Alligator mississippiensis: one gene and its partners. The protein of the gene in region 3 purifies or fractionates together with the protein of the main gene of each other region. This does not show direct contact. Links are inferred from orthologs where the notes say so. Each region holds a gene or a part of one and is shown on either strand. Other genes may lie near its edges.

What was found.
Region 1: the proteins of MED9 (region 3) and POLR2E purify together in Homo sapiens (affinity purification with mass spectrometry; 4 studies listed by BioGRID and IntAct, with this or other methods). This does not show direct contact. The link is inferred for Alligator mississippiensis from reciprocal best matches to the Homo sapiens genes MED9 and POLR2E.
Region 2: the proteins of MED9 (region 3) and MED21 purify together in Homo sapiens (co-immunoprecipitation; 8 studies listed by BioGRID and IntAct, counting the BioPlex papers as one, with this or other methods). This does not show direct contact. The link is inferred for Alligator mississippiensis from reciprocal best matches to the Homo sapiens genes MED9 and MED21.
Region 4: the proteins of MED9 (region 3) and MED23 purify together in Homo sapiens (co-immunoprecipitation; 3 studies listed by BioGRID and IntAct, with this or other methods). This does not show direct contact. The link is inferred for Alligator mississippiensis from reciprocal best matches to the Homo sapiens genes MED9 and MED23.

Annotation. Positions count from the first base shown.
Region 1 is NC_081839.1:2,967,277-2,974,770, forward strand, and holds the start of POLR2E (DNA-directed RNA polymerases I, II, and III subunit RPABC1), read left to right. Parts: upstream 1-4,490; 5' UTR 4,491-4,552; coding exon 4,553-4,609; intron 4,610-5,143; coding exon 5,144-5,318; intron 5,319-5,455; coding exon 5,456-5,571; intron 5,572-6,923; coding exon 6,924-7,004; intron 7,005-7,275; coding exon 7,276-7,334; intron 7,335-7,494. UniProt on the Homo sapiens protein: DNA-dependent RNA polymerase catalyzes the transcription of DNA into RNA using the four ribonucleoside triphosphates as substrates.
Region 2 is NC_081827.1:129,464,320-129,471,748, reverse strand, and holds the start of MED21 (mediator of RNA polymerase II transcription subunit 21), read right to left. Parts: upstream 3,013-7,429; 5' UTR 2,958-3,012; coding exon 2,916-2,957; intron 2,659-2,915; coding exon 2,544-2,658; intron 446-2,543; coding exon 345-445; intron 1-344. UniProt on the Homo sapiens protein: Component of the Mediator complex, a coactivator involved in the regulated transcription of nearly all RNA polymerase II-dependent genes.
Region 3 is NC_081836.1:54,494,456-54,501,817, reverse strand, and holds the start of MED9 (mediator of RNA polymerase II transcription subunit 9), read right to left. Parts: upstream 3,012-7,362; 5' UTR 2,997-3,011; coding exon 2,821-2,996; intron 1-2,820.
Region 4 is NC_081824.1:114,295,181-114,302,022, forward strand, and holds the start of MED23 (mediator of RNA polymerase II transcription subunit 23), read right to left. Parts: upstream 3,014-6,842; 5' UTR 2,828-3,013; coding exon 2,768-2,827; intron 1-2,767. UniProt on the Homo sapiens protein: Required for transcriptional activation subsequent to the assembly of the pre-initiation complex. Component of the Mediator complex, a coactivator involved in the regulated transcription of nearly all RNA polymerase II-dependent genes.

The DNA of each region.
Region 1 (7,494 bases), on a different chromosome or scaffold from region 3:
AAACACTGGCCTCATCCTCCCCCCCGCCCCGTGAAGGAGAAGTGTTAGCCGGTTCAAATTGCCGCAGGGACTGGAGGTGCATTCACGTTTAGATCATGCAGAGCTTTTCCTTTGATCACAAAATCATCAGAGCTGGGCTCGACCGGGGCCATTCCTGTGCAGTGACACATGTCCAGGAGCAGGAATTTAGATCGTCGTGTGCAATGGGATGGTGCAATGGGCTAATCATGTCTGAGACATTCGGGATAGGTTCCCAGCATGGTACTTTCCATGCATCTTCCTTCCCGCAGCACCTGAAGTAACCTGACTGATGATGACATGAGATTGGGCTCGCGCAAGAGTATGCATCTCTGATTCAGCTAGTCTGTAAGGTGCATCTCTACCCTTCCTTCTGCCTAGGTTCAGACTAACGTGGTTAACTACCTGTCTCTTGACTAATATCTGTCACGTACGGGCTACGTGCTCCAGGGAGCGTGTGGAGTCCTTTGGTAGGCGTTTGTGGCTCTTAGCAAAGGCAGGTCGGAGACGGGCACCTTTATGTTTGGGGCAGGAAGTCTGACGTTCGTGATGGCTCCTAGTTATCCCGGAGCTGCAGCTCAGTCCCCAGGAGAGCTGTTTCCTGTGCAGGCAGTCTCTAGCCATAGGATGATAACATCTTACATAATAAATCAGATTTTCTATGGTTAAAAAGTATCTCCATGCCGCAGCGCGGTGGGCTTGACTTTGTGGTGAAATGCTAACAGGATGTCTAAGATGATGATCAATCAAGCGCTGTTGTGACACGGGGGCTTTGTGAAACAGCGTGTTGCTAAAACCCTGCATGATAGCACCTGCGTTACAACAGGCCGTTGCAACACCAGCGCGGCGTATGGAGGCATTGTGTCATACAGGCAGCGTTGCTACATGCTGGCACTGCTCTTATTTGCCTAACCACGGGTTTTAGCCTGATGCTTCTGGGCAGGTTTTTCAGGCCCTAAGCCAGGGGCAAGCAATTATTTCGGGCGGAGGGCCGCTCACTGAGTTTTAGCAGGCCGTCGAGGGCTGCATGACAGGCAGCCAGGGGCAGATAAATATTCATTTTCTAAATTTTTAGGGGCCCCGCGGGCCGGATAGAATGGCCTGGCGGGCCGCGTGTTGCCCACCCCTGCCCTAGGCACTTCCCCTGAGTTCCCCTGAGATCTCGCATCTTTTGCTGGCTCCGTGTGCCACCAGCGAACGAGACGGTGGGACAGAACGGAAGGAACAACGTTGTAGATAAGACGGGTGTTATGTCCTAGAGTTGCACTTGAAACGTGGGGAACGGTCCTGATTTTCCAGCAAGAGTGTGTGCGTTGGGGTTGGGGGGGCAGGGGCAGGGGCGGATCCAGGGGGTGTACTCGCACCCCACGTTGATTCCTGCTGCACCGGAAGTTTAAAACCAGTTGCCTGGCTGTAGCAGTGGCATTTCTTTTCAGGCAGCAGTGAGGGAGTCACTTTGTGGCACGATTATCACGTTATAATCTACCCGTTCCCTTCTCAGCTCTTCATGCCCGGGTGTTAACGACCCTCGCTTCTTTGTCTTGCCATTCACAGAATCATGGAAAACGAGGGCTGGAAGGGACCTTGGGCGGTCACATCTAAGCCAACCCCTGCTCCAAGCAGGGCCGTCCCCGGCTCCATCCTTCGGTGCCGTCGTATTCAGTCCGTACCAAGAAAAGGCTGTTCCACCAGTCAAGCTCGCTCATGTTCTGCCGTTGGGCTCTCTGTTCCCTGCGCCTGGTAAGGAAGCTGGTGTTTGCTCATTTGTAACTCCTTCCAACAAAGTTATGCGTTTGAGCTCCCAGCTTAAACTGAACACCACAGCCCAAGGCCCCCGGCATATTTGTAAATCCAGGGGATTTTTAACTGGAGAAAACGATGAGTTGTGGTCTCTGGCAGCATGTCTCAACCCACGGGTCGTGACCCAAAAGTGGGTTGCAAGAATACAGGAAAGGGTTGCAAACAAACTTTCAAAACGGATTCTCCTTTCCAGGAGGGAGGCGTGGGTGTTCCCTTCCAGACTGGCAGAGCTCCAGCCTGCAAGAGGCTGCTTGGGGCCCCCCCAGACCTCTCACACGCCACCCTGCCCCGCGTACTCACCCTCTGCCCCACGCGCGGGGGGCTGGGGTTGGGGGGCAGCGGGTCGGGAGTGAGGGGCGCTGGGTTGGGACCAGCCGTCGATGTGTGCAAACAAGTGGTGCAAAGAAGGCGGAGAACCACTGGTCTATGGGACGATGCATCTCCCCACGTGCAACCCCCTTTCCAGAATCCCGGATCCGCCAGCGCCGGGGTGTTTATCCAGCTGAAAGGAGGATGTGGGAGTTGGGACGGGGTGGGGGCAGTGCGTCGCAGAACCCCCCGGCTCTGCAGCTGCTGGAGCCCAGAGGACCTTGGCGACACGTTACGTACATGACGCAGTTCTTCAGTGATTTGTGCAATACGTTTCGACCAGCCCCGCATGCAAAGGAATGACTGCAGGATAACAATGACTCCCCAGCTGGCAAAAGGAGGCAGCCAGCTCCCAAGGCAGGGCTGGAAGAGGTGCAACCACCTGCCTCGCCCTTCACCGGGCCGACGAGGCAGCCCCTAGGGCTTGTGCCAGCGGCCGCCGGCAGGGGGCAGCAGAGACCTCTCTTATGGGAGGACTACATCTCCCAGGAGCCTTTGCTTCTGGGGCCCCACATACAAAAGCCGCCGACTGGTGTGGGCGTCCCTGCCGCCGCCTGTCACCCGCGCGCCATAAACGGAGCGGCCTGGGACGTCTACCCGCGGGCGGCGGGGCGGGCTCGGGAAGGTTGGGGGCGCCGCGCCGCGGGCGGCGGTCTCAGGCGATTAGCGCGGACACCCGCGCGCGGGGGCCTGAGCGGCCAAGCGCATGCGCAGTGGGGCCGGAGGGCGGCACGTGCAGGGCATGGGCGGCGCGGGCGGCGGGGACGGGACTCGGCCCTGGGCTCGCCTGAGGCCTTCCTCCTCGCCTTGCCTCAGTTTCCCCCCCTTCCTCTTCCTCCTTGCTTGGCTGGCTTGTCCCGTGCTGATGCCCAGAACCTCTGTGTTCAGGCCCCGGTAGACATGGCTCCCAAGGACACCCTGGAGGAGTCTTTTGCGGAAGACCTGCTGAATAACCTCACTGAGCACTAAGCGAGTCCGGTGCGTGGTACACTGGAGCGAGCTGGGCACGGTCAGCCGTGTCCTGGAGCTGTCCGGGGCCCCAGCCCTTGGCACAGCGTGCCCTTGGTGCCCGCACCCCGCGTACAGCTGCCCCAGTCTTTCCTGTACCCGTGTGGCAGGAAACAGTAGCTTTTGCAATCGCTTGCATGCCCACTCTTTCTCTGATCCTGCATTATTGAGATCTCCCTGCTTCCGTATTTCCAGCTGGTTCCAGAGCATGAGATCCATTGCTGGAGGCAGAAATAAGATCCTCAAGAAGCAGCCCAGGCCGTGGAGGTTCCTGTCCATCCTCCGCTCGTTTGGGGACCAGGAGCTACCACCAGTTCTCCCTCCCCGGCTGCGAGCCAGCGGTCAAGAACGCTCGCCCCCTTAATCTTGCCTTGCCTTTCTTTTCCCCGCTGGAGCGTGCGTTCTGCCCCCGCTCCACCGCTGCAGCAGAGCGAGATCACCACGGCGCGCGTGGAAACCCTGCATTTTTACGAACCAAAATGATGCTCTTCCCACGCTCTCAATGGCCTTTGCTAATGCACTGGCTTCCCTCGAGTACCAGGGTGGCAAGATACTCTCATTCGCGCCGCGACTGGGTGCTCTAGTGGTCCGGGGTCGGTAGAGAAAGGTAACAGCTCCCCTTCCACCCACTTTCTTTCTTCTTTTAGGAGATGGACATAAACTTCAGCACGGATTCGGTGTGTTTGAAGCCTTCTGGTAACGAAGCTCCTTGTCCGCAGCCCTGCAGACTGGTTTAAAATCCTTTCAATAGAGTGATATTTCCTTTTATCTCCATCTTAAACCAAATGAACGTCGCCCACGGTCTCTGGGGTTTTCCTGAATCTTCTAGTATATTTTTAAAGGGGAGAGAAAAGATGCGCCGTGTCTTACGGGATTGGCGCACCTCCCCATATGCAACCCCCTTCCCCAAACCCTCGCTCTGCGCTGGTGGGGGTGCTTATCCATCTGAAGGGAGGATGCCTGGAGAATCCCCCTGGCTTGGCAGCTGCCCCGAGCGACCCCAGGCCCTGACGACGTGTTACAGATAAATTGCACTTAGCGGGTGACTCGCGCATTCAATTCCGAGCAGCGCCGGGCGCAAGGGGTAAAACTGCCCGGCTGTAGAAACGGGCGGCCCCACGGGGCTCCTGCAGGGGGCGGCAGAGGCCTCTGTTACGGGAGAACGACATCTCCCAGGAGCCTTTGTTCCTAAGGACCCCTCCTCTCAGCCAGACGCTGGCGTAGGCATCCTTCGCACTGCCTGTCACGCGCGCGCCTTAAATGCCGCCTGCCCTGTGCCGGGCAGGCGACTAGTGCGGACACCCGCGCGCGGGGGCCTGAGCGGCGGCGCCTGCGCAGTGCGGCCCGCGGGGGCAGCATGGACGACGAGGAGGAGACGTACCGCCTGTGGAAGATCCGCAAGACCATCATGCAGGTGGGCCAGGCCTCCCCCCCCCCCCCCCCCCACACTCCTCGTGCCTCAGTTTCCCTTACCCCTGCCATCCCTGTGCCTCAGTTTCCCCCCCCCTCCTCCTTGTGCCTCAGTTTCCCTTACCTCCTGCCATCCTCGTGCCTCAGTTTCCCCTCCTCCTCCTCGTGCCTCAGTTTCCCTTACCCCCTGCCATCCCTGTGCCTCAGTTTCCCCCCCCTCCTCCTCCTTGTGCCTCAGTTTCCCTTACCCCCTGCCATCCCTGTGCCTCAGTTTCCCCCCCCTCCTCCTCCTCGTGCCTCAGTTTCCCTTACCCCCTGCCATCCCTGTGCCTCAGTTTCCCCTCCTCCTCCTCGTGCCTCAGTTTCCCTTACCCCCTGCCATCCCTGTGCCTCAGTTTCCCCCCCCTCCTCCTCCTTGTGCCTCAGTTTCCCTTACCCCCTGCCATCCCTGTGCCTCAGTTTCCCCCCCCCTCCTCCTCCTCGTGCCTCAGTTTCCCTGCCCACCCCTCGTGGAGCTGACGGCGCCCGCTCCCCGCAGCTCTGCCACGACCGCGGCTACCTGGTGACGCAGGACGAGCTGGACCAGACGCTGGACGAGTTCAAGGGGCAGTACGGCGACAAGCCCAGCGAGGGGAGGCCGAGGCGCGCCGACCTCACGGTGCTGGTGGCTCACAACGACGACCCCACCGATCAGATGTTCGTCTTCTTCCCCGGTGAGGCTCCGCGGCGCTTCTCTGTTAGAAACCCGGCGGGGGGACGCACGCTCTCGTAAAGGAAACGGACCCTTCTCCTAAATCCCGCCTGGCCTGATTTTTTTTTTTTTTTTTTTTTTTTTTTTTGTTCTTCTCAGAGGAGCCCAAGGTGGGGATCAAGACCATCAAGCTGTACTGCCAGAGGATGCAGGAGGAGAACATCACCAGAGCCCTCATCGTGGTGCAGCAGGGCATGACGCCGTCCGCGAAGCAGGTGCGCCACTGCCCTGCCCGGGGGCCGGCGGCCTTCGGGCTCTCGGGGGCCGACGCGCCGGGTCGCGCCTCCTTCGCGGCGACCTCGTGGAGCACGTCGGTGCCGTAAAAGCGGCGACCGTTACTTGAGAGGCCGAGACCGGAGCCCGGCGCGCGGGCCGGGGCACTGCTCTTACCCCGGAGGGCGGCGCTCGCGGGCATTTTGCTCGGCCTCTGGGTGGATGGTGGGTACACGGCAACAGCGAGGATTGGGCCCCTTGTAGCTCCCCCGCCGTCCGCCCGACGTCTTACACATTGGGAGTCGTGAGTGTTTTCAGTACTCTGCCCAAAAATGTCGCCGCCCCCTGCCCTACGGGGCAAGGTTGAGCTTTGCTTTTTTGTTTGTTAAAGCCGGCATGGCCTGAAAGGCGCTTGCTTGTTATGTGTGGTGAGGCCGCGGTGCAGCATCAGAGGCTGGGGTTGCAGTTGTGTGAGGAAGTGGCTCCTGTGAGTTTCCTTTACGAAGCAAACAAAGAAGCACCTGGCGTAGATGCGGAGGAGTCCGTGCAAACGTACACGATGGCCTGGCCCCAGAGGCGTTCGGGGGGGGTGCAGTGGGGATGGACTCGTGGCACGTGCCTGTGCTCGAGTCCGGTCCTTGGACGAGCCCCGCTGGGCACAGATACCCTTTGGATTCAGCGGAGGTTGCTCGACTATATCAGCAATTACTGCAAGGCTCTCCATGGGTCTTACTTAATATGCCACAGAGATGACCCTGCTCTTACAGATCAGCTGTGTGAGGGGTTCTTGATTCGGCTCGCTAGAAATACCTAGGGAACATGCCACGGTTGTACTCCCTGCAACAGTCTCTTTCCTACCCCTCGGGGGTTTGACTTGAGCAAACTTTGTATTCTGCAAGGTACAAGATACTGCTCTTAACTCCTTGTCAGCGAAGCTTGCAGGCAGTGAAGTGCGTTACTGCCCAGATACTGCGGTAGTGGGCCAGGAAAATCCCAGCAAGAATGAGACTCGTTCCCTTATCGCGGCGTTGCTGCCCAAGAGGGACAGAAGAAGTGAGGAGGGTGGGAGTGATTCAAGGAACGACAAGAGGAAATGTGACTAGAGCAGTAGGGAGCAGAAGGCTTAGCAAGGGGAGAAGTGGGCAAACGTCAGGCTGTGATGGGGGAAGTGGTGCTCACCTGTCTGCTGCTGGTGGAGAGGTCTGTTACCCACACCTGCGCATGCCCTTGAAGTAGCGAAGGCAATATGATGGGAATGGCATACTCTAGCCCCAGTCTGAATAAACCCGGGACCAGCTCAGTCTGGTGCGCTGGGCTTGCTAGCCCATGCTGATGTTCACTCTCTTTCTTTCAGTCCCTGGTAGACATGGCTCCCAAGTACATCTTGGAGCAGTTCCTCCAGCAAGAGCTGCTGATTAACATCACTGAACATGAGGTGAGTCCAGTGCCTGGGTACATCGGTGTGAGCTGGGCATGGTCAGTCACATCCTGGAGCTGTCTGGGGGCTCCAGGCCCTTGGAGCGGTGTGCTTTTGTGCTGTTGGGTGCTGGCATTGCATTTAATAGCTACTCCAGTCTTTCCTAAGCCTGTGTTCCTAACACTGGTCACTACAGGAAACAATGTTTTTTGCGCTCACTTGCATGTGTTCGTTCTCTCTCTCTTTCTCTCCTTGGGTTATTGAGATTTCCCTGCTTCTGTACTTGCAGCTGGTTCCAGAGCACGTGGTCATGACAAAGGAAGAAGTCACTGAGCTGCTAGCCAGATAGTATCCTTTTGTTTCTGAGCCTCCCTGAAGCCCCTGCCAGCACAGATGTGCTTTGTGCTGGAAACTACCACACTTGTGGTGTATACAGTAGTGCTTTTATTTGCTGTGAGCCTGCAGAGCAGGCAGCAGGCCCAGCTGATTTACCCCACTGGTGATTTTT
Region 2 (7,429 bases), on a different chromosome or scaffold from region 3:
TAGATAAACTATCAACAATTGAAGATGCCAGGTAACTTCCTAAAGTAACATTAGGTGGTGGTAAGAAGAGTTTCTTTGGCACTGTAAGAAAGTCAAAGCAAGTTCTACATATCTTAGTGGTCTTGGATGCAAGTCTGCCCACCCTGTTTCAAGTTCACCTACACAATGTCATCTTTTCAGTATATTGCCTGAGATTTACAGGTTCTCTTTTGAAGAGCTGAAGTTCATTTTAAACAATATGCAAGATCACATCTTTTACATTAGTTACTCTTTTGAGATGTGATTTAATGCGATTAAGAAGCATTTTTGCAGTGTTTCAGTATTTTGGCTTTCAACTTTCTTACCTGCAAAGCTGCTGTTGATTCTTCACTAGGTAACGAATCTATCAAAACATCTATATCCTTAGCAGTACGAGCAATCAATGCTGCAAAGAGCTGGGCATATTCTATTAAAAATAAATAAGAATTACTCTAATATACTATTTTTAGCTCTTTTCTTCGGAGGACCTGTAATAAGCTGGGGGCACATTTAAAGAACTTAAATCCATTTCAGACAAGCTGTATTTACTTCTAAAAATCAAGGAAATGTCAAGCCTTAAGAACTTCCCCATACAAGGCAGCAATAGCATGGTACATTAGGACAACTGAATCACATTGAGCACAGATAAAAGGCTAAAAATTCAGACTATTCACAAATAAAGGGCTAAAACATCAGATTAAATATAGTTGTATACAAATAGTGCTCCCATAACTATATGAAGTTGCAGCAAGAACACGAGTAGGGTTTGCCATTTCGTTAACTGTTAGTTAACAAATGTTCAGGTGTGCAACAACCTCTGTGCAGTATAAATGCTGCATAAATATGGTGAAAAATTTAAAGAAACAACTAGATTAAAAGGTTTACTGCTACTGTGTTAGAATTTTAGCACGCTGAACTTAAATGCCTTTAAAAACTTTGCTATCCATATGTTTAAAAGAATTTGCAGCTTAGAACCCAGATACCTTTGCTAGTGATAAGACTTTTAAATTTTGGTAAAGTATACAACTCCTCTATTAGTTTTAAAAATTGACTTTTATAATATTATAAATCCAGTTAACAAGTAAAACAAGACTACAGTTAAAAGGTTGTTAAGGAGATCTGTAGGTTTTTCCTGTTTACTTTGTGCATCTGACATATTTTAAGTCACAACCACTGTTTCCAAAAAACAAACAAACAAACAAACAAAAAACAATCACCAAACAATATGGAAGAGAATAAAAACAAGCCCCACACAAAAAAAAAAATGGTGACTAAGAACATACAACTAATACTCTGGTTAAAGATTTAATACACTTTAAAAACCTAATATATTAACACATTTTCCATGTCTAATCAAGTGTCATTTTGACAATGTTTGTTTCAATAGCCCTGTTCACATGCTTTTGTACCTTAAATACAAAAATGAGTACTCTGCAAACAGTACTTAAAAACCTTCTTGCTTTCAAGGACATTAATATTAAGAAGAGGCTAGTCTGGCATTTTCTAGTGTGTTTTGCACAACCTTTTCTAACTAGTGGCCAGATTAGTACATGCTATAGTAGAATGTGCTTTGGCCAGAGTTTAAGGCAGAGGTGTCAAATGCATCCACCCCTGCAGCCAGCTGAGTGTCTATGAGTTACTCTGTGGACTGGACTGAACTAGGACCAACCCCCTCCCCCTGCCCACCCTTCCCGTGGAGTAGCGGCAGTGCTGGGTCCAGCTCATGCACCACATGCAGCATATGCTAGCCCCTGGAACTGGCACGGGGTGGCCCCAGCACTGCAAGCAGGACAGGAAGTCAGTTCAGGGTGCTGCCTGCAGCCCATGCCCCAGATTCCTTGTGCTGCCAGCAGCTCTGGGTCCAACCCATGCACTGTAAGATCAAAGGGGCCATTTGCACATGAGCATAGGGACCAGCATATGCTGCATGCAGGGCTGTGCATGGTTCAGTTGCCCTGAACTGCAGCACAGCACCATTGTGCACTGTGCTAGCCCCACTTGGGATCCCCAAGGTCAAGCCTAACCTGATTTCAAACATAAAGCAAAAGGAGATTAATTTGAGAAGTATTTTTGGTTGTGCACCTAGATCAGAAGAGATCCCACTTAAGAAACACATGGAACAAAATTAGGGCTGACCTGATTGTTTAAACACTAAATATTTTAAACTGCCTCTTCCCTGAAACATAACTCTTGCTTTGTCCTGCCATTACATATTTTAGAGCAGAGAACAGGATGGTTCCCAGATACCATCACACTGGTATTCCAGATAGTATGACCATCAGGATGGTAACTCTGCAATGGCTTAGTGAGGAATAACCCTACCGAGGCTAGGGGCTGGACATGACAACCTCAGGGTCCCTTCAGCTGCCTTTCCTACAATTCTACCAACTCCAGACAATGTTACTTACATTTGCGCTCTTGCAGAGACCCAGAACAGATCTCATCCAGCCCCTACCTTCACTGACCCCTGTGTGTACCAGCGAGCTGCCCCGCCAGTCAGAAAAGCTGCACAAGATGTTTTTTACCTTCCGTAGGATTGGCTGGCTGGTCCTTGTTGAGGGTGGTCTGGATGTTGCTGAACGAGGCAGGTGGACCGCATTGCTGCAGCACCCCAATAGCATTGCAGAACTGGTCAGCAAGCTGCAAGGCGCACAGCATGCAATGCTTAGCCACGGGGCCCAGTGGGCAAAGTCAAAGCCGCTACCCTCCTCACAACCCCAACCTCTTCCCAACCCCCACCCGAACCTCCCCTCCACCAGACTCTCACCCCGGGACCCCCTCTCGTCCCCCTAAGAGAAGATCCCCCCCGATCCACGCCCACTGGTGGGGGAGGGGGGAGCGGGACCAGGAGCCACCCGGGCTTCGGCCGCCCGGCACAGCGTGGCGCAACTCCTCACCGAATTCACCGCGTCTTGCAACTGCGTGAGCCGGTCCGCCATACTCTCACCCTAGCATCCTGCCCACCCATTGGTCAGCGCCTAAACGCGACGGCGCAGCCAATCGCAGCTCCCAATCTTAGGTGGTCAGGGAGGGAATGGGAGGGGGCTGGGAGTAGAAGTGGCACGGGTGGAGTTGTACATACTTCCTTTTCGGGTCTGTGGTTCGGGTTCCGCTAGGAGGGTGTCTTGGCTGCTGGGGGCGCTTGCTCCTTGCTGGCGGGAGGGTACTTGCGAGGTCTCTTAGCCACCGAGGGGCTCGGGCGCTGCAGGGCCTGTGCCTGGGCCGGCTCCTATTGAACTCGAGAGGAAAACACCTCGGAGGAGCGGGATCCTTTGGGGCTGGACGGACGGGCCTGAGTTCCCTACCTTAAGGAGCCCTCTGCTATGCAGATAAGTAAACAAGCGGGGCTGAGAGATGTACTCTCCCCGGGGCTTGCGTTTTTTCCAAAACCCGCCCCAAATCATAAGAATGAAGTTGTTTGCTTATTCCAAATTCCTTATTCCCGGTGTGAGGTTCCTTTTTCAAAGCTAATCTAGACCCAATAAAAGCTTGTTATTAATGAATTGCACATCCTAAAGAGGGATAATTTCATTAGCTATGCACATGTACTATTTCATATGTAAAATAATATCGCACCTCAAGTACAGAGCCCTAAATGAAGGTCAGATTAGGATAGGATCATGGGGCAAAATACTTCTTGGGCCACCACAAACTTCCTGTTGATGCCATTGGGGGACTGTCCCAAGAACCCTGACCACAGCACGGTTTGGCCGTGCCAGGCTGCCAACTGACAGCCCCCATGCCCGCTATACTAAGTATAAATCTTGAATAAGGAACTGGTTTTTGGGCTGGGATTATAGCTAGAAAATCTGCTTGGGCCACCCATCAGAATACCTCTGCACGACTGGGGGACTCTATCGGACAAGTAAAATATGTGGTCAGGGTTCTTTAGGACAGTCCCCCAGTGGCATCAACAGGGAGTTTGTGGTGGCCCAAGAAGTATTTTGCCCCATAATTCCATCCTAATCTGACCTTCATTTAGGGCTATGTACTTAATGTGGGATATTATTGTACATACGAATTAGTACATACACACAGCTAATGAAATTCTCTTCAGGATGTGTAATTAATTTATAACAAGCTTTTATTGGGTCTAGATTAGCTTTGAAAAAGGAACTAGGAATAAGGAATAGGGACCTGGGAATAAAGAATAGGGAACTGGAAATAAGCAGCCAACCGCAGCTTCATCCCCAAATCACTGTTTCTTACAGCAATATTTGCCTGATATCACTATTTCTTACACCATTTTCCACATTTTGTTTCTTAATGCCTTGCGCCACACGCACTTGAGTCTGCCAACACACCTGGGTGTGGGCATCTCTAGGAGTTTGAAAAAGAGGGTGAAGTGCATCATCACATACAACACAACATGCATTTCTCTCCAGGTAATAAACTAGGAGCTTTAGCAACAGGCCGGCGGCCCAGGGCTGTATTACGCCATTTAAAATTGAAGCAAAAACAAACAGAACTTCACTGCAATGAGTTAAAAACAGGCAATTGGAGGAGACCCAGGACCTCCAAGCAGACGTTGAGACTTTGGGTGGGGTGATGTGGGGGGGACTTGCGTTATAAAGATAAAACAGACCTCAAAAAAAAAAAAGGAAGACCATAAGTTATCTCTTACCAAAAGGCCTGCATGGAAAAGATAGCAACATTAACATACCACCAGTTCTCAGAGCTAACATCACAACTGCCCTTCTGGACGTGTGCCTGGCACCTGTGCAAAATGCTCGAGTGAGGAAGTCAAGTTCTGCTCTATTACATTTGTGTAAATGATTAAACAAAATTGCCCCACAACCCCAAAAAGATTTTTTTACCTGAAGGTATTCACCATGGAACCAGCCAGGACCCTAAAATAAATGGTACCTCTGCATTTAAACATAAACAAGCATTTAAAAAAATATGTACATATAAAAAAAGAAGCAACGATTCCTTCCCCTCCCGCGTTAAGGAAGATGTAACAAACAGAAATGCTGCTCAGAAAAAACTTTGTTCACAAACGCAGTCGCTGAAGTTTCAAGGCACTGCCTCGCTGTTGGCATACCACCTCAGAAAAGCCACTGGCACTTTATCATGCATCAGCAGATGCATAACGAATAGGTCCAGGGAGGTGATACTTCCCCTCTATCGGGCGCTGGTCAGACCGCAGTTGGAGTACTGCGTGCAATTCTGGGCGCCGCAATTCAAGAGGGATGCGGATAACCTGGAGAGGGTCCAGAGAAGGGCAACTCGTATGGTCAAGGGCCTGCAGACCAAGCCCTACGAGGAGAGACTAGAGAAACTGGACCTTTTCAGCCTCCGCAAGAGAAGGTTGAGAGGCGACCTTGTGGCTGCCTTTAAGTTCATCACGGGGGCACAGAAGGGAATTGGTGAGTATTTATTCACCAAGGCGCCCCCGGGGGTTACAAGAAACAACGGCCACAAGCTAGCAGAAAGCAGATATAGATTGGACATTAGGAAGAACTTCTTCACAGTTCGAGTGGCCAAGGTCTGGAACGGGCTCCCAAGGGAGGTGGTGCTCTCCCCTACCCTGGGGGTCTTCAAGAGGAGGTTAGATGAGTATCTAGCTGGGGTCATCTAGACCCAGCACTCTTTCCTGCTTATGCAGGGGGTCGGACTCGATGATCTATTGAGGTCCCTTCCGACCCTAACATCTATGAATCTATGAATCTATGAAAAACAAACATGCAGAGCTGTGAAACAGGAGCTTCATGACCAGAAGCAGCTACCAGGTCATAGCTGGATGGACTGGCAGAACATCAAGGCCATTCAAAAGGAGAGGGTCATTAACACCTGTGGGATGAAGAGTTTAGCAGCGATCAGTAGGTTACAATGAGCCATGAAATCAATGGACTCTTTCAGCACTGCCTGACTAGCGACCCAGATCAAGGACAACAAAAAGTCCTTTTTCAAATACATAGGGGGCAAAAGAAGGTGCCAAGTAACGTGGAGCCTCTGCAGGACACACTAGGAAATCTCATCATCTCGCCTGATGGTAAAGCTGACATATTCAACAATTTCTTTGCCTCCGTATTTCTGAGGAGGGACCCGGATATCTCCCCCACTGGCCCCCCCAAGGGCCCTGTGGGTGGCATACCCAGGCCTAGGGTTCATGAGGACCTTGTCAGGGAACTTTTGGAGGGACTAGATGTATTTAAATCCGCAGGTCCTGATGATCTCCACCCTAGAGTGCTGAAGGAACTAGCAGGGATCGTTGCGGGACCTCTGGCACAGCTCTCCGAGCACTCATGGCACTCAGGCGTTGTGCCGGAGGACTGGAAAAGGGCCAATGTGGTCCCCATCTTCAAAAAAGGGAGGAAGGAGAACCCAGGAAACTATAGGCCTGTGAGTCTTATTTCGGTCCTGGGGAAGCTTTTCAAAAGAATTATCCTGGCACATATCCAGGAAGGGCCAGCAGGGGAGGTTATGCTCAGGGGCAACCAGCGTGGGTTCATTAGGGGGAGGTCTTGTCAAACCAACCTGGTGGCCTTCTATGACCAGGTCACCAAGTCCTTGGATGCAGGTGTCGCAGTGGATATAGTCTTTCTGGACTTCAGCAAGGCCTTTGACACGGTCTCTCACCCCATTCTCAGTAAGAAACTAGGAGACAATGGTGTTGATGTCTACATGGTCAGATGGGTCACTAACTGGCTGGAGGGCTGCACCCAGAGGGTGGTGGTGGACGGGTCTTATTCGACCTGGAGGGATGTGGGCAGTGGGGTTCCCCACGGCTCGGTCCTTGGGCCCGCACTGTTCAACATCATCAGTGAGTTGTGCGAGAGGGTAGAATGCACCCTGTTCAAGTTCGCAGATGACACTAAGATGTGGGGTGAAGTAGGTACGCTAGTAGGAAGGAACATGCTGCAAGCTGATCTAGACAGGTTATAGGGGTGGGCCGAAGAGAACAGGATGGGGTTCAACACTGACAAGTGCAGGGTAATGCACCTGGGGAGGAAGAACCAGTGGCACAACTTCAGGCTGGGGAACTCCCTTCTCGCTAGTGTTGAGACAGAAAAGGATCTTGGAGTCATCATTGATGCCACAATGAACATGGGCCGACAGTGTGGGGACACAGTCAGGAAGGCGAACCATACCTTGTCGTGCATCCACAGATGCATCTCAAGCAGGTCCAAGGAGGTGATCCTCCCCCTCTATGCGACACTGGTCAGGCCGCAGCTGCAGTACTGCATCCAATTTTGGGCGCCACACTTCAGGAGGGATGTGCCCAATATGGAGAGGGTCCAAAGGAGGGCCACCTGCATGATCAGGGGTCAACAGGGCAGGCCCTACGAGGAGAGGCTGAGGGACCTGAACCTGTTCAGCCTCCAAAAGAGAAGGTTGCGAGGGGATATAGTGGCAGTTTACAAACTAGTCGAGGGGGACCAGCAGGCATTGGGAGAGTCCCTGTTCC
Region 3 (7,362 bases):
GGGCAAAGATGACCCTTAATTTGATTCCTTCTCCCATGCCCGTCTCCGGTCCTTTGCCACGTGATGGCAAACAGCGTCCCCTGCTCTGCGAGAGCCAGCCTGGAGCACCCTTGTCCCACAATGTCCAGACTGCGAGCAAGTAAGGCTCTGCCCTGTGCTGCCTTCAGACTGTAAAGTCTTTGGGGCTGGGACTCTCTACCTGTGCGACGTGTCTGAGGCCAAGCTGCCCGTCAGCACGAAACCAAGAGGGCGCGACTCTTTTACACACCAGCCCCCTACCTGGCCATATTAGGGCTCCTTTGTGCTGCAGGAAGGGTGGGAAGAAGCGATCACGTAAGGGAAGATCAGGCCCATGATGTATTGCATGGGGAGTACACAGGTCCCCGCTGACACCGGTGTAAAGCACCTGAGTGGGGCTGCGTTCGAGAGCTGGCAATGCTGCCCTCGGTACTCCCTGCTCTGTGTCTACATGCACAACTTCTGTGCCAGGGCTGCCCAGCCAGGCGTGAACACCCACAGGCTGCACTGCAAGGAGGATGCCAGGGCCAGCCACCATCCAAGAGTAACAAGGACCCTCGGGGCCAAAGCCTGCATCTATACACCGCTCTGGAGTCCGAGAGAAGGGAGCCCGACCCCAGCCATGACCCCGTCCTCGTCCGTCTGTACCAGCCCGGGCCCCAGGGACGCATTCCTGAGCTGGGACTGTCTGTGCTTTCTGGAGCCTGCTCTCCACTGGAACAATTGCAGGCAACGTAAATGCAAAGGAACGCGGCCGAGGACAACGGGTGCAGTGATCAGGCCTGGTTCAGCCAGAGAACAGGCCTGACCTAAGCACCCAATTGTGATGAAACCAGGCCTGTTTCTCGGCATGAGTCAGGTGGGGGATCTGCCAGCTTGCCACATGCTTTCCCTGAAAATCTGGACCGGGACCCGATGAGATCAAGGTTTGCCCCATTAGCCATCTCTTCTGGCTAATGGGGCAAAAAGACCTGGGGAAATGAATGCATCAGGAATATACCTCGCTCACCTTTCCAGGAATGAGTCCACCTCCCATTCGGCCCTGCAATTTCCTTGTTCTACGTCACCTGTGAGATGGGACAATGGCCCCTTCACAGAGCCACGGAGAATGGCCTGGACGGCCCCCCTCGACGAACACAGGTCAGCCAGGGAGCCTCCAGATACGGCTTCACGGGCCGTGTACCAGCCAAGCTGTGAGCTGAGGCTTGGGGCACAGACCCTGGAGCCTGGAGCCATCGGGACACGCGGATGGACTGGATCAGATCGCCTCTGCGGGCAGCCAAGTCCTCCAGGTCCCCGTGCAAGGGAGGGTAGGCCAGGAGGGAGAGCAAGGGAAATCCTGAGTGATCTCCAGGCAGGGATATTAAGGAGATCACTAGTGATCTCTCTGCACCTTGGAGGGTGAAGGGATCCCTTGGAACCACTTCATTTATATACCACCATCGCAGGGAACGGCTCAGGAGGGCTTACACCAACAGACAAGGCAGCTTATGAAAACATTCAGACAAGTAACAGAATAAGCTGTATTTGCCCCAAGATTCAACCCTTTCCTGCTAACAGCTGCCCCATTAAAAATGGTCCCGCATCATTTCCACCAGATGCCCCGGCTCGGGCTCGGGCTTGGGCAGGCCCGGAGGGGAGGAGATGCAGAGCTCAGCCCCCACGGTGCCAGGAGGTTGCTCTTGGCTGACCTCGGAGACCACGCTGGGGTGCAAGGGAGACCGCGGCCCCTTTGCTACGTCGGGCCCAGGCTGTGTTGGTCCAAACCAGCATCTTGAATCGTGCCTGGAAAGCTACTGGGAGCCAGTGCTGGCCCTGGAGGACTGGAGGTCGTAGCAGGCCACCCCACTGGACGGCCACAGAGGCCAGCCCGCTCTCCAGGCCACGAAGGCTGGGATATCAAGGGGGGCCGAGCTGTCTCTTCACCGGAGGGAGGTGCCCAGCCGAGCCAGGGCTGTGACCTGGGGTGGCACGGTGCCCCCTGCCCGCCCCGAACACATCCTGCTGGAAAGGGGCACTGGGGTGATCCCCGGGGTCACTCTAGGGGAGGGATGAGGACTGGAGCCCCAGTGCACAGCGGAAGGGGTGCACAGCTGGAAGGGTGCACAGCTGGAAGGGTGCCCTGGTGCACAGCGGGAGGGGTGCACAGCTGGAAGGGTGCCCTGGTGCACAGTGGGAGGGGTGCACAGCGGGAGGGGTGCACAGCTGGAAGGGTGCCCTGGTGCACAGCGGGAGGGGTGCACAGCTGGAAGGGTGCCCTGGTGCACAGCGGGAGGGGTGCACAGCGGGAGGGGTGCACAGCTGGAAGGGTGCCCTGGTGCACAGCGGGAGGGGTGCACAGCGGGAGGGGTGCACAGCTGGAAGGGTGCCCTGGTGCACAGCGGGAGGGGTGCACAGCTGGAAGGGTGCCCTGGTGCACAGCGGGAGGGGTGCACAGCGGGAGGGGTGCACAGCTGGAAGGGTGCCCTGGTGCACAGCGGGAGGGGTGCACAGCTGGAAGGATGCCCTGGTGCACAGCGGGAGGGGTGCACAGCGGGAGGGGTGCACAGCTGGAAGGGTGCCCTGGTGCACAGCGGGAGGGGTGCACAGCGGGAGGGGTGCACAGCTGGAAGGGTGCCCTGGTGCACAGCGGGAGGGGTGCACAGCGGGAGGGGTGCACAGCGGGAGGGGTGCACAGCTGGAAGGGTGCCCTGGTGCACAGCGGGAGGGGTGCACAGCTGGCCCGGGTGCCCCAATGCAGAGCGGGAGGGGTGCACATCTGGCGGGGGAGCCCCCCCCCGTGCCCGGCGGGAGGGCGATTACCACTTGATGACGCCGTGCACGAGCGGCAGGAAGGAGAACTCCTCGCGGCCCGGGGGCGGCGGCGGCGCCGGGGCCGGGAGCGGCAGCGCGGGCTTCTGCTCAGGCGGGGGCTCGGCGGGCGGCGGCGCCGGGGCCGGGGGCTCCTCCGCGGGCCGCGCGGCCGCCCCGCTCGCCATGGCGGCCCCCCCTCCCCGCCCCGCGCGGCGCCGCCAATGCACGTGTGTGCGCCGGCCCCGCTATTGCGCGTCAGCCGGGGGCGGGCGCAGCTCTGCGCGGCACGGCACTGCACTACACTGCACTGCAGGGCCTCGGCGCGCCTTGCTGCAAATGCGTCCTCGCCCTGCAGAGCCCCCAGGGCTTGGCGCAGCCGTGCAGTGCACGCATCTTTGCATCGCGGGGGCGCCGTGCAGCGCACTGCATTGCAGAGCCCCCCCCTCCCCCCGGGCTCGGTGCAGCCGCGCGGGCAGCTCTGCAGGAGGCGCCCAGCCAAGCTGCTGCGGGAGCGGGGGCCTGGGCCTGGGAATGGGGGCTGCACCCCAGCAGTGCCCATCCATGTCTGGGCAGGGAGCGGGGCTTTGTCGGACCCCTGAGCTCGTGTGAGCCCAGTGCTCCGCCAGAGCAGCTCTCTGGCTCTCAACTGGGGGTGCGCCATCCTTGCAGGGGGGTTGCGCAACGTCCACAGAAGCTTTACTCATTTTTCTAGGGCCCCAGGGCTGTGCTGTTCAGTTCAAGAGTCAAGCAAAAACATGTCACTTCACTGGAATGGGTTTAAAACGATGGGCACAGCTGTGAAATAGGAGCTCCCTGCCCAGGAACAGCTAACAAGCTGCAGGATTGCAGAACAAAGGCTGCCTTGATTGGCTGGACATCAAAATCATCCAAAGAAGAGAGGGTCAAATGAAGAGTTTAGCAGGGATCTGGTAGATGAGAGCGAGCCTGAAGTCGAGCGACTCCCGCAGCCCAGACTGCCACAGCCAGGGAGATGGTTTTAAACTTTGGGTGGGAGAGGCATCGACAACCTGCAAGTGGTTCACAAGATAAACCCAGACATTTCAAATAGGAATCCCAAGTGCCAGAAATAGTCTGAGTTCTTTGCAACAGAAGAATTGCTCTGTTATTTTTCCAGAGACAAAAAACCAAGTGAAAGCTGAGAGCTGGCATTTTCCAAGAGGCACCTTGAGTCCACCGAGGTGGCTTAAGGGCTTTGCGGGATGGGATGGGACGGGGCGGGGCGGCCTCGAGACCCGGATGTTCTCAGGTGTTTAGGCACTCATCCAGCAAGAGTTTGGCCATGCTAGGCTCCTTTCACCAACACAATCCCAGTGCTCCTTTGCATTTTTTAAATCAAGCGGCTAAACTAAGGGACTTTTGATGCTGGCTGGAAAACAAACGATGGCTATATCTGTTTCCTTGCATTTGAGAAGTAGTTTGGTGACCTCATTTCGGGGTATTTCAAAGGGCCACGCTGAATTTCAGAGGGTGGCATCTGGGCGTGTTGTCCTGGGTACTGCAGTGCTTTGAATCTAGTGCTTGTTTTCCTGAGCCCTGTAGCTAATGGCAAAGAAGCTATATTAAGAAAGTTGATAGCTCAGTTTTGATAAACGCATAGTCAGACAATCAATGGAGCATTTGATGATGTGCACATACACAACCCCCCAATTTAATTAAGGAGCACAGGGCTTTTGATCTATTTGTGCAGTTTGAATTACCCTCTGCGCTTTCTCCTTTAGGACTCATCTCAGAAACCCTGTGCAGACGTGGAGGTCTCCGTGCTGTGGGGTCTCCCTGTGCCGAGCTCAGAGAGATGCAGCCGTTTGGTCTCACTGGCTGGTCTTGGTCTTGAGTCCCACTGACTTCCCTACAGGGGGGTAACACCAGCTACTCCATAGGTCTCAGCTCAGACCTCTGTAAGGCCTTGACATTCACTCCTGTCCCTACTGCGGTTGACTTGTGCCCTCTGGGCCCCTTCCTGGATGAACCATCAGCTGGCAGAAGTTTTGTCTGGCTACAATGTGCCATGAACGGTGGGGCTGGATGTCTCAGGGGAAAGATCGGATATGGGACATGGACCACAAAGCATCTCCAGGGCTAGGCTTCACTGAGCAGCCAGTTCGATGGGAGGTTGAAAGGACCATAGGGGCTAAACTGCTATTTTAGCTGCCTTCAGTGGTCTCTCCAGCTCCGGGTCGGACAGCAGGTCAGCAGCTCACACAACCTGCCTAAGCACAAGACAGTTTGGGGACTAAACTTGGCATGTGGGCTCCTGCATCCCTCCGCCCAGAGCTTTGCAGATGCTTTTGGTTCATCAACAAAAAAAACGGGAGCTAGCAACAATACTAGCAAAGGGCTTGGCTAGCAAAGTTATAACAGCTCATAGCAGCTCATGCGTCTCAAATTTAGTTAGTCCTAAGATGTATTTCTACCCTGCCTTCAGCCCAGGCAAGAGATTGCAGCGGGGTGGATTGCAGAAGGTCACTGCACCCTGGTTGTGCTAATGGCATTGACATGCAGTTGACGATGCCACGGTTTTTCTCCATATAACTTTGTTTGCCATCCTCCAAGTCCCGAGACTTTAAAATGTCTCAAAGCTGCCTGATCCTTCACATCTTATAACCATCAAACAAACTAATTTCTCTGCCAAAGGGTTAGTTAACCTATTTTCCCCAAGACCAGCTGACCAAATAATCCTTATCTTTAGCCTCCTCCATGATTACCCCTTTTATTTCCTTTTACATTATTAATATGACTTCTCTTTCTGTCGTGCCATTATAAATTGCTCCCCCTCGCCTCCAAATGAGACCTAGTTTCAGAGCTTGCTTTGTCTTTGGATTTGCCATTAGTCTTTTAATTCATCATCAGTCAATTCCTTTTGTGGCTTGCCCCACTTTCGTTGCCTACCCTCGCTGGCTTGCTTTGGCTGCCCACATCAATGCCATGATGACTTTTATTATATGCCCATCATCATGTTGAACTTTATCTTGTCTCGCTGCCCCAGAATCATCCTGTTTGTTATCTTATTGGGCTATGTTTAGAGATCATTCATCTGTGGTGCTGGCCTAAGCCTAAAAAAATGCAGATATGGCATTCATTTACTCAGCGTTCGTCTTCCAGACGTTTTTCTGGATTCTGGGGCTGATCCTGCTTCCATTTAAGTCCATGATAAAACTCTTGCTGACTTTGAATGGAACAGGCTTGGGTTTCTGGAGACTGTTACTCACAGTTCGTAATGCCCCTACAGCAGGCATTTTCATGTGGTTTCTGATATCCCCAGCTTCTGATGGGACTAGAAATACCCGTCTTACCCACTATCCTGATGGTATTTTGGTATTTCTGTCCCCAGTTTCCCTAAGGGGCAGCCATGAAAAGGCAGGGATAATAAAGAAGTAAAAGTTCACAGAGCTTTTAAAGTCTTACAGTCCCCTGCGGGAGTTGGACCCTTCCTATCTCATGCTTCTTCATTTTGCAAGTCTGTGATGTTTTCCCCCTTGTATGTCTACATGGCACCTGGATCAGACTAGAAAGAGAGCTTCTAAACCAGGAGAGGGAAATGGGTCCAGAGACCAGGTTGTCAAAGGGAACTGAGTAATCCATCACTGAAGTCATTTCCCAAGAATTCAGCGGGTTCATGTACCCGGTACTTCCCAGTTCACAGTGATAAACCAGGCTGACAACTCACTTTATAGACCTGGAAGCTCAGTCCTTCAGAGAGCTGCTTTTGGATGGCCGGCTGCAAGAATGCATGGGGGAGGGGGGAGTAGAGTATCCCCAGCCCCCCAGGGTTTGGTCTCAGGAGAACACGAGAAGCTCCGCGCTCTTTCAGAGGTCTTTCATAGCCAGGATCATAAAGAAATAACTTTGGTTTAATGTTTAACAGGCATGAAAACAGCAGGGGCCGGCCAGCCAGAGCCTTCCAAAACACTACAGCAGCTCTCCTTGTCAAATTGAAATCCTTCCAATGAGAACATGTTACACGAGCATCCACGAACTCTTGTACTTCAATGCAAATCCCTTCTGCCACGTGTGCCATAGGTGCTATGCTGGGGACTCAGAGCATGCTAGGCACACAAGCAATTTCTGCCCATGGGTGAGTACAGAGCCAGTCATCCAAGACACCCATGCTGTGGCATGGAGGACACATGTCGCATTCAGGGACCCCTGGAGCATGCATGTTAAGGACTGTGCAGCCCACAGGTGTGCTGGGAACTGCATAGCAGGTTTTTCTCCAAGGAGGCAGCGGGACAGGGATGGCTGAGCCATGCAGGGAGGAGGTGGTGTGACCCAGACGACTTTGTAATGCACACTGAGAAACAACCACGGGCTGCCACGGGTGTGAGAGCAAAGTAGTGCAGGTTGCTCCACAGTGCCCCACAGCTGCAGAGGCCAGGCCCCGGGGCAGTGCTTTAAATGAGATCAGATCTGAGGACAAACCTCCTGACTGCAAGATCAGCCAGACAATGGGACAAGCTGCCTGGGGACGCTTTGGCATCTCCTTCACTGGAGGCTCTTAAGAGGATACTAGGTTGGCACCTGTCTGTTGGGGTT
Region 4 (6,842 bases), on a different chromosome or scaffold from region 3:
GCCTGTGGGCTGCCCAGTGTGTGCTCCAGCCAGACAGCAGCAGCCAACACTGCCTGGCGCGGCAAGCCCAGAGCCGGCACAGAGCCCAGGCTGGCAGTGGGGCTGGGTTACAAGTTGGTGCTGAGTGTAGGGAAAAGCGGCCCCTTGGTCGCCCAGTGCCCGGCGCCCTGTGCTAGAGCCGCTTCCAGCCCACATGGGGCTGCCTGTGCCTGCTCCAGATAGCCTCATGTGGGCTGCAAGCGCCTGCAGCAGGGAGGGCTAGCCATGGGGTGGACAAGCGGTCGCTTTTCCCCATGCTCAGCACCAGCTTCTTCCCTGCCGGCAAGCAGGGGGTTGGGGCTGTGCGCTGCCTGCTGCCTATACCGCGGGGCTGGGGGGCATTGGGAGTGAGCAGGTACAGGAGCCAGCTTCTTCCCTGCCGGCGAGCAGGAGGTTGGGGCTGTGCGCTGCCCGCCTCCTGTACCGCGGGGAGCGCACAGAGTGAGTGGGAGTGAGCAGATGCAGGAGCCAGTGGAAGCACAGGGCCCACATGGGTGTCCCAGGGCCAGTGTCGGTGGGACCCAGAGCAGGGTGGCAGAAGCGCAGGGTCTCAGTCAGCAGGGGCTCTATGGAGCCGGGCCAACTCCCCACTCTCTCTGCTGGTGAAGCCCAGCCTGGTTCCACAGACTCCTGCCAGCCTGTGCCTCGCTTTGGGCCTCACCAGTGCTGGCCCTGGGACATTGGTCCCAAGACAGTGACCAGGGGGCAGGGCACCTATCAAGGGGCAGGGCTACTCATGCAGCCCTTGACAGCCTGCCAAAACTGGCTAAGTGGCCCTCTGCGCGAAATAGTTGCCCAACCCTGCTCTAGATCTTGGCCAACTATTTTTGCTTCTGCCAGAATTCAACCTTTTCTTTTTGATCTAATGTCCAAAGCTCCTGCGTGGGCTCTTGTGGTCTCATGCCTTCACTAATATAATCCCCACCTGTCTGGTCTTGGTACCAGCCACTCTCCTTAAAACTAGTAAAAACTGCCAGTGGGCTCGTTCTCCTGGCTTGCGGCTGCAAAGGAATCTCTTTACTTTTTACATTCTTTACTGGCACCCCTTGCTCCCCTCCAGCTCTGAACACCAAAACCTTAATCTCAGTACAAATTTAACTTCAATCCACATGATCCTGAGCTGAGGAAAGCTTGTTTTCTCTCTAGATAAAAGTGTGTGTGTGTATGTTTATACATATATGCATACACATATACACACATTTACATATCACACACACACAAATCTTGTGTGTCTACATATGTTTGTGTACACACACACACACACACGTATATACTTGAGACCACTGCTCCTTATTTATTCTGTCATCTGCCCCCACTGAGAAAAGTCTCTCCATCCTCTCTGTAACTGCCTTTCAGCCATATGAAATACATATAGCTTAAAAAAATAAGAGGATGGATGGAGCTGGACCATTCTCAGTAGGGCCAGATGGCAGAACAAGGAGCAATGGTCTCAAGTTGCAGCAAGGGAAGTTTAGGTTAGATTATAAGGAAAAACACTCTCATGAGGAGGCTAGCAAGGCACTGGAGCAGGCAACCCAGAGAGGCACCTTCCAACCCTAATTTTCTATGATTTTATGACTGCATGAAAACAGAGAGAAAGTACAAGCATTCCTATAATCCAAGTTCCCTCACCACTTGGGTTAGGAAAGCTTATGCATTTTCTGGACAGAGATGCATATTATCTGGGGACAGAGTTGTACCGCTACCCAGCACATCCATAGGTGGCAGATAGAGGAATGACCTTCAGGAAATGTTAGCTGCGAAATAAGCAGGGGTAACTGGTGAACAAGCAGTCATGCAGACCACGCAGTGGCAGCACCCCTAGGATGCTTTGAAAGTACTTCCAGTACCCTGAAACCTTACAATGACAACAAGAGACAGAAAAATGGGGCTGGCAGAAGCAGCTTGCGGTGGAGCAAATCGAGAATCTGGAGCCACCTGCACTGCATGGAAACCTGTGCCAGAGCTGCAGCAGAGTCTGTGGATCCCAGGTCGGCCTTGTCAGGCAGCTTTGGACACACAGATAAGAGAGCTGTGGAAGACAATCATCCTCCACTGTGAAGGAGTACCGAAGACACAGACACATATGTGCATGTGTGTGTGCATGCAGCTATGTGTGCACGTGCACACGCATATGCACATGTATGTGTGCATCCATGGGTGTTCATATGTGCGCATACGTGTGCGTATACATGTATGACGCGTGCCGCCTTGAGGCCCAACGACTCTATACTGAGGCAGAACGGCAACAGTGGAGGAGGAAGACGGAGACCAACCTGGGGCTGCGAATCCCACTGCCCTGTGCAGCAACATGCCCCCGTTGCGGAAGAACCTGTGCACTCAGGATGGGGTTCCTCACTCACCTGAGGACCCAGCAAGCCCCACAGACGTCATCCTCGACTCCGAGGGACCGCTGTCTCCGATGCGTGTATGCATATGCCTAAGTGTGCGTGCGTGTATGTGCACACGGGTTTGTACGTGTGTGCGCGCATGCACATGTGTGTATGGGTTTGCATGTGTGCGCGCACACGTGTATGTATATGTACACGTGTACATGCATGCATGAACATGTGTACACATACATGCACACGCGCATCTCTGTCTACACGGATAAGGCCCCGTCTCAGTGCGGGCCCCTCCCCGCGCACAGCCAAGGCCCGACCCCGGGGCGCACAGCCCCGCCCCGCCCCGCGCGAGGGGCCGCGCTGCCGGCCCGGGCCACACTCACCACCACCTCCTCGAAGATACTCTGCAGCTGCGTCTCCATCGGCGCCATCGGGACCGCCATGGCCCGGCGCGGCGGAAGGGCCGGCGCCGAAAGCGGCCCGGCGGCAGCAGCGCCCGCGCCGGTGGTTCCGCAAGAGGCGCCTGCCCACCCGCCCGCTCCGCTAGGGGCGCCTTCTCGGCCTAGCTGCGCGCGCAGGCTCAAGCTGTGCAGCCCGAAGCTGCCGCCGCCGGGGGAGGCGGTCCGGCTTTGTGCGCGGTTAATGAACACGAGGAAGCCGAGAGCTGGCCCCTCCCGGGCACTGACCGCAGCGTGAAGAGGCCGAGCACTGCTAGCTTCGAGTCCTCCAGGGTGGCCCCTCCCCCAGACTTTTATCAGCCTGTCCTATGGGGGCAAGAAGCATTTTGACTCCTCTCTCCCAGGAAGATCAGCTGCTCTCGGGTCCTGGGGTGCTCCGAGATCCCTGGGGTGCAGGGTGGGGCCCCTTACCCCCAATTCACGAGACAAACCCAGGGATTTCAAGCAGGAATCCCTAGCGGGGAGATGTTTCTGCCTGGACGTGGTGGGGCGCAGATGGGGCCTGCACGAACAGGACAGCGTGGGTCCCATGGCAGCCAGAACCTTCTTGAAGAGGCAGCGAAGGGGCTGCAACCTGGCACACTCATGCTGGATAGGACATAGGGGAGAACGTACAGAGTTTTATATAGAGAAAATACAGAGTTTTGTGGGACATTTACCCCATGTAAGATGTTGCAGAAACAGGAAACGATCTCTCTCACACGGATCACTGAGCTGTGTCCAAACAAACTGTAGGACATGGGACCAAATCATCTTGCTTTGGCAAGAGGCTAATACTTTGCAGACTTTGCTGCTCCACTTACTAGCCATGCTACATGAAGGATTTTGGGATGGAACTGCAATGCTGCAAGCTGGAAATGTTATTGACATCTTGGGTGTGAATGAAGACAGATGGAGAGAAAGCGCTTTGGATAGCAAGATGATCCTAATCTAGCCTTACCAACCTTTTGGAACTACAGGCTAAAACAGGTGGGCAATTATTTGGGCCTGTTAGGCACAGAGGGAGTTTTTGTGAGCTGTTGCAGGCCAGGTCAATACCTCCCCTTGCCCTGCCACAGCTCACCAAAACTCCCTAAGTGGCTCCTGAACCGCTGGGCAGTTGGGATGGGGCAGGGAGCAGGACTGGCAGGCAAGGCCAGGGTCATGAGGCAAAATTGCAGGTGGGTGACGGTGTGGGACCAGGGCCAGAGCAGAGCCATGATCCGCTGCCTACAAGGCCCTGAGATGGGCACAAGTTCTGCAGGTAGGGGCATGTGGGGAGCAAATGCGGCTCTGCCCTGGCCCAGCCCTGTGCTGTCACTGCCCCAAGATCCTGGACCTGGCCCCAGATGCAGCCCCATCCCATCTGCCTGTCTTCGTGCCCTGCCCAGGCAGGTCCTGACCATTCTCCATAGAGACCCTGAGGTCACTGGGCAGTGACAGTGCAGGACTGGGGCCCAGGGTAGAGCTGTGATTTGCTGCCTGCACACCCCTGCGATGGGTTCCAGTTCCAGGCACTTGCAAGGAGTAGATCATGACTCTGCCCTGGCCCGAGCCCAGTGTTGTCACTGCCCAGCGATCCTGGGGTCTACGTGAAGACTATGTGGGACCCTCATGTGCAGAGAGTGTGGCCAGGTGGATGGGATGGGGCTGCGAGCAGGCGACTCCTGCCGAATTGTTCTACTTCTTTGTATGTACCCAGCCAAGAGAACCATTTTAACAAGTGAACCACTGTTTTGTCTGTTCCCAGATGCCACCCTTACAATGGTAAGGTATAGGCCACCCATAACAAGGGCTTCCTATACCCCCGGGGTACTAAAACCTGAGCTACCTCTTCTGCCCCCATCCCTTTATCAATTCAATAAAGAATGTTGTCTCTTACCTCAAACTGCATTTTCTGATCTGTGAGCTCGGACTGTATCACCTCTCTGTTTCAGCTAGCCACATTGCTTCCACAGACATGTCAAAATGCATCTTCCTGCTGTTGCTCTGCCTGGAATTGTCCTTGACCAATCAGGCCTTGTATATCCAGTGACTCTTCCATACTTTCTCTTAAAGTTTCTTTGTCTCCCTTTTGTCCTGTAAATCCCTCATCTGGTCAGCTGGAGCATCAGGGCCTTTGCAGCATCCCAGGTTCTATGGTTACTTCCTGCATAACCTTGATATATGGCCTATTCCTGCCTAGTATCAATGGATTTGGTAGGTTTTTAGCTAAACCTACCAGCATGTCATACGTTTTTCCAAGGACCATTAAAGGAATACTTTGCCTCTTATAGGTTGTAGCATCTCCATGCAAACATATCATTGTTATCGCCTCACAGGATTCTCCTACCCCAGGCGGAACTAACTCAGTTCACACCATGGTGTGGGTGCAACCCATATAAACTATTGCAAGGAATGTCAGGTCCCCAGATCTGCTTGCCGGATGATAGGAGGCTGGTGCTGCTGGCTGGGGCCAGCGGTAGCACTGATCTTCCCGGTGCTGGATGCGGGCTGTGCCCAGCGCCAGTCCCAGGCGGCAGCACCAGCCTCCTGTCATCTGGCAGGCACATCGGGGGCCTGTACCCCCCGGGAAGAGTCCAGCATGGCCCTGCAGCTCTCCCAGGGGTGCGGGCAAGCCCCCAATCTGCCTGCCGGATGACAGGAGGCTGGTGCTGCCAGCTGGGACCAGCGCTGGGTGCAGCCTGTGCTAGAAGATCAGTGCTGCTGCTGGCCCCAGCCAGCAGCCCCAGCCTCCTGTTGGGGCCTGCACCTCCGGGAGGAGTCTGACACAGCCCTGCAGCCTTCTGGAGGTTTGGGCGGGCCCCCAGTCTGCCTGCCAGATGACAGGAGGCTGCCTCTGCCGGATGGGACCGGCACTGAAGCCAAGTAAGCCTGGCTTCAAAACTCGAAACGTTTAAAAAATTTCAAAACATTTTGAGTTCCCTTGTCTTGTTTTGAAGCTGTTTTGAAGGCTTTTGTTTCATTTTGATTTTGCTGTTTCGAGCTCGAAAGGCATTGAAACAGCTTCAAAACGAAACACTGGGCAAAATTTCGCACAGCCCTAGTAATCACCTGCTTTGTCTCTTGACAGAGCTCTATATGGCATCTATGCCTTGCCTATTACTAGGGAACCCAGCTGATAGGCCCACTTGACTATCCCATCCTGCTGCTGTGGCCATCCTCTGGAATGCTTCAAGGTATGCCTCTGGGTCCTCCCCAGGAATCATCCAAGTCATGTGGAATTCCTCCATTCTTCCTCTCGGTGCTCTACCAGTTTCCATCATTTTCTCATTCAGAGCCAGCTTTTGGGCAAATAACAGCTTATGGGCTTCATTTTCTTCTGTCCTAGGTTTCATTAGCTCATCTATTTGGTGTTGCTGTCCCTGCAAAATTTGCAGGATGGCCTTGTCGTGGAAACACACACAGCATACTTTTGGGTCAGATCAGCAGAAGCTTTTATTCAAATGAAACTGCAGCTGTAGGGGGGAACCCCAAAGTGGCATGGATTTCCCAAGCACTTGGAATGGGTTTCCCCCCAAGAGCAAAATCAGGAAGCTTATATACTTTTTAACAGTTCACATGATCATATAGTGGAGTTTGCTAGAAAAAGCAGCTACAAACACTAGCTCATTACTGCTTTGCTGTTATCAGGATGGGAATTATGGGGGAGACAAGGTTAATTCACGAAGCGAGAACTAACACTCCCTTTTTGCCCCTGGAAATCAGAGTTTGTACATACTTTTTTCTCCTCTCTTTGAGGCTGCGGTGAGCAAAGCAGTTGCAGAGGAGTTACAAAGAACAAACACTTTCCCTTATCTGCTCTACTATGCAGAACCAGCAATTCCCCACAAAGCAGTTATGTCATCTTATAACCCGTATGATCAAAGTTTAAGGCATTTATTTTTTTTCTGATTCCACAGTCCCCCCTTTGAGACTATTTAGTCTCACTTTAGCCTTAAACTTTTATTTTCATGAGTCCCTCTATTTCATTATGCAGCCTTTTATGTTTTCTTTTAATTTGCTTACACTTTTGTAACAC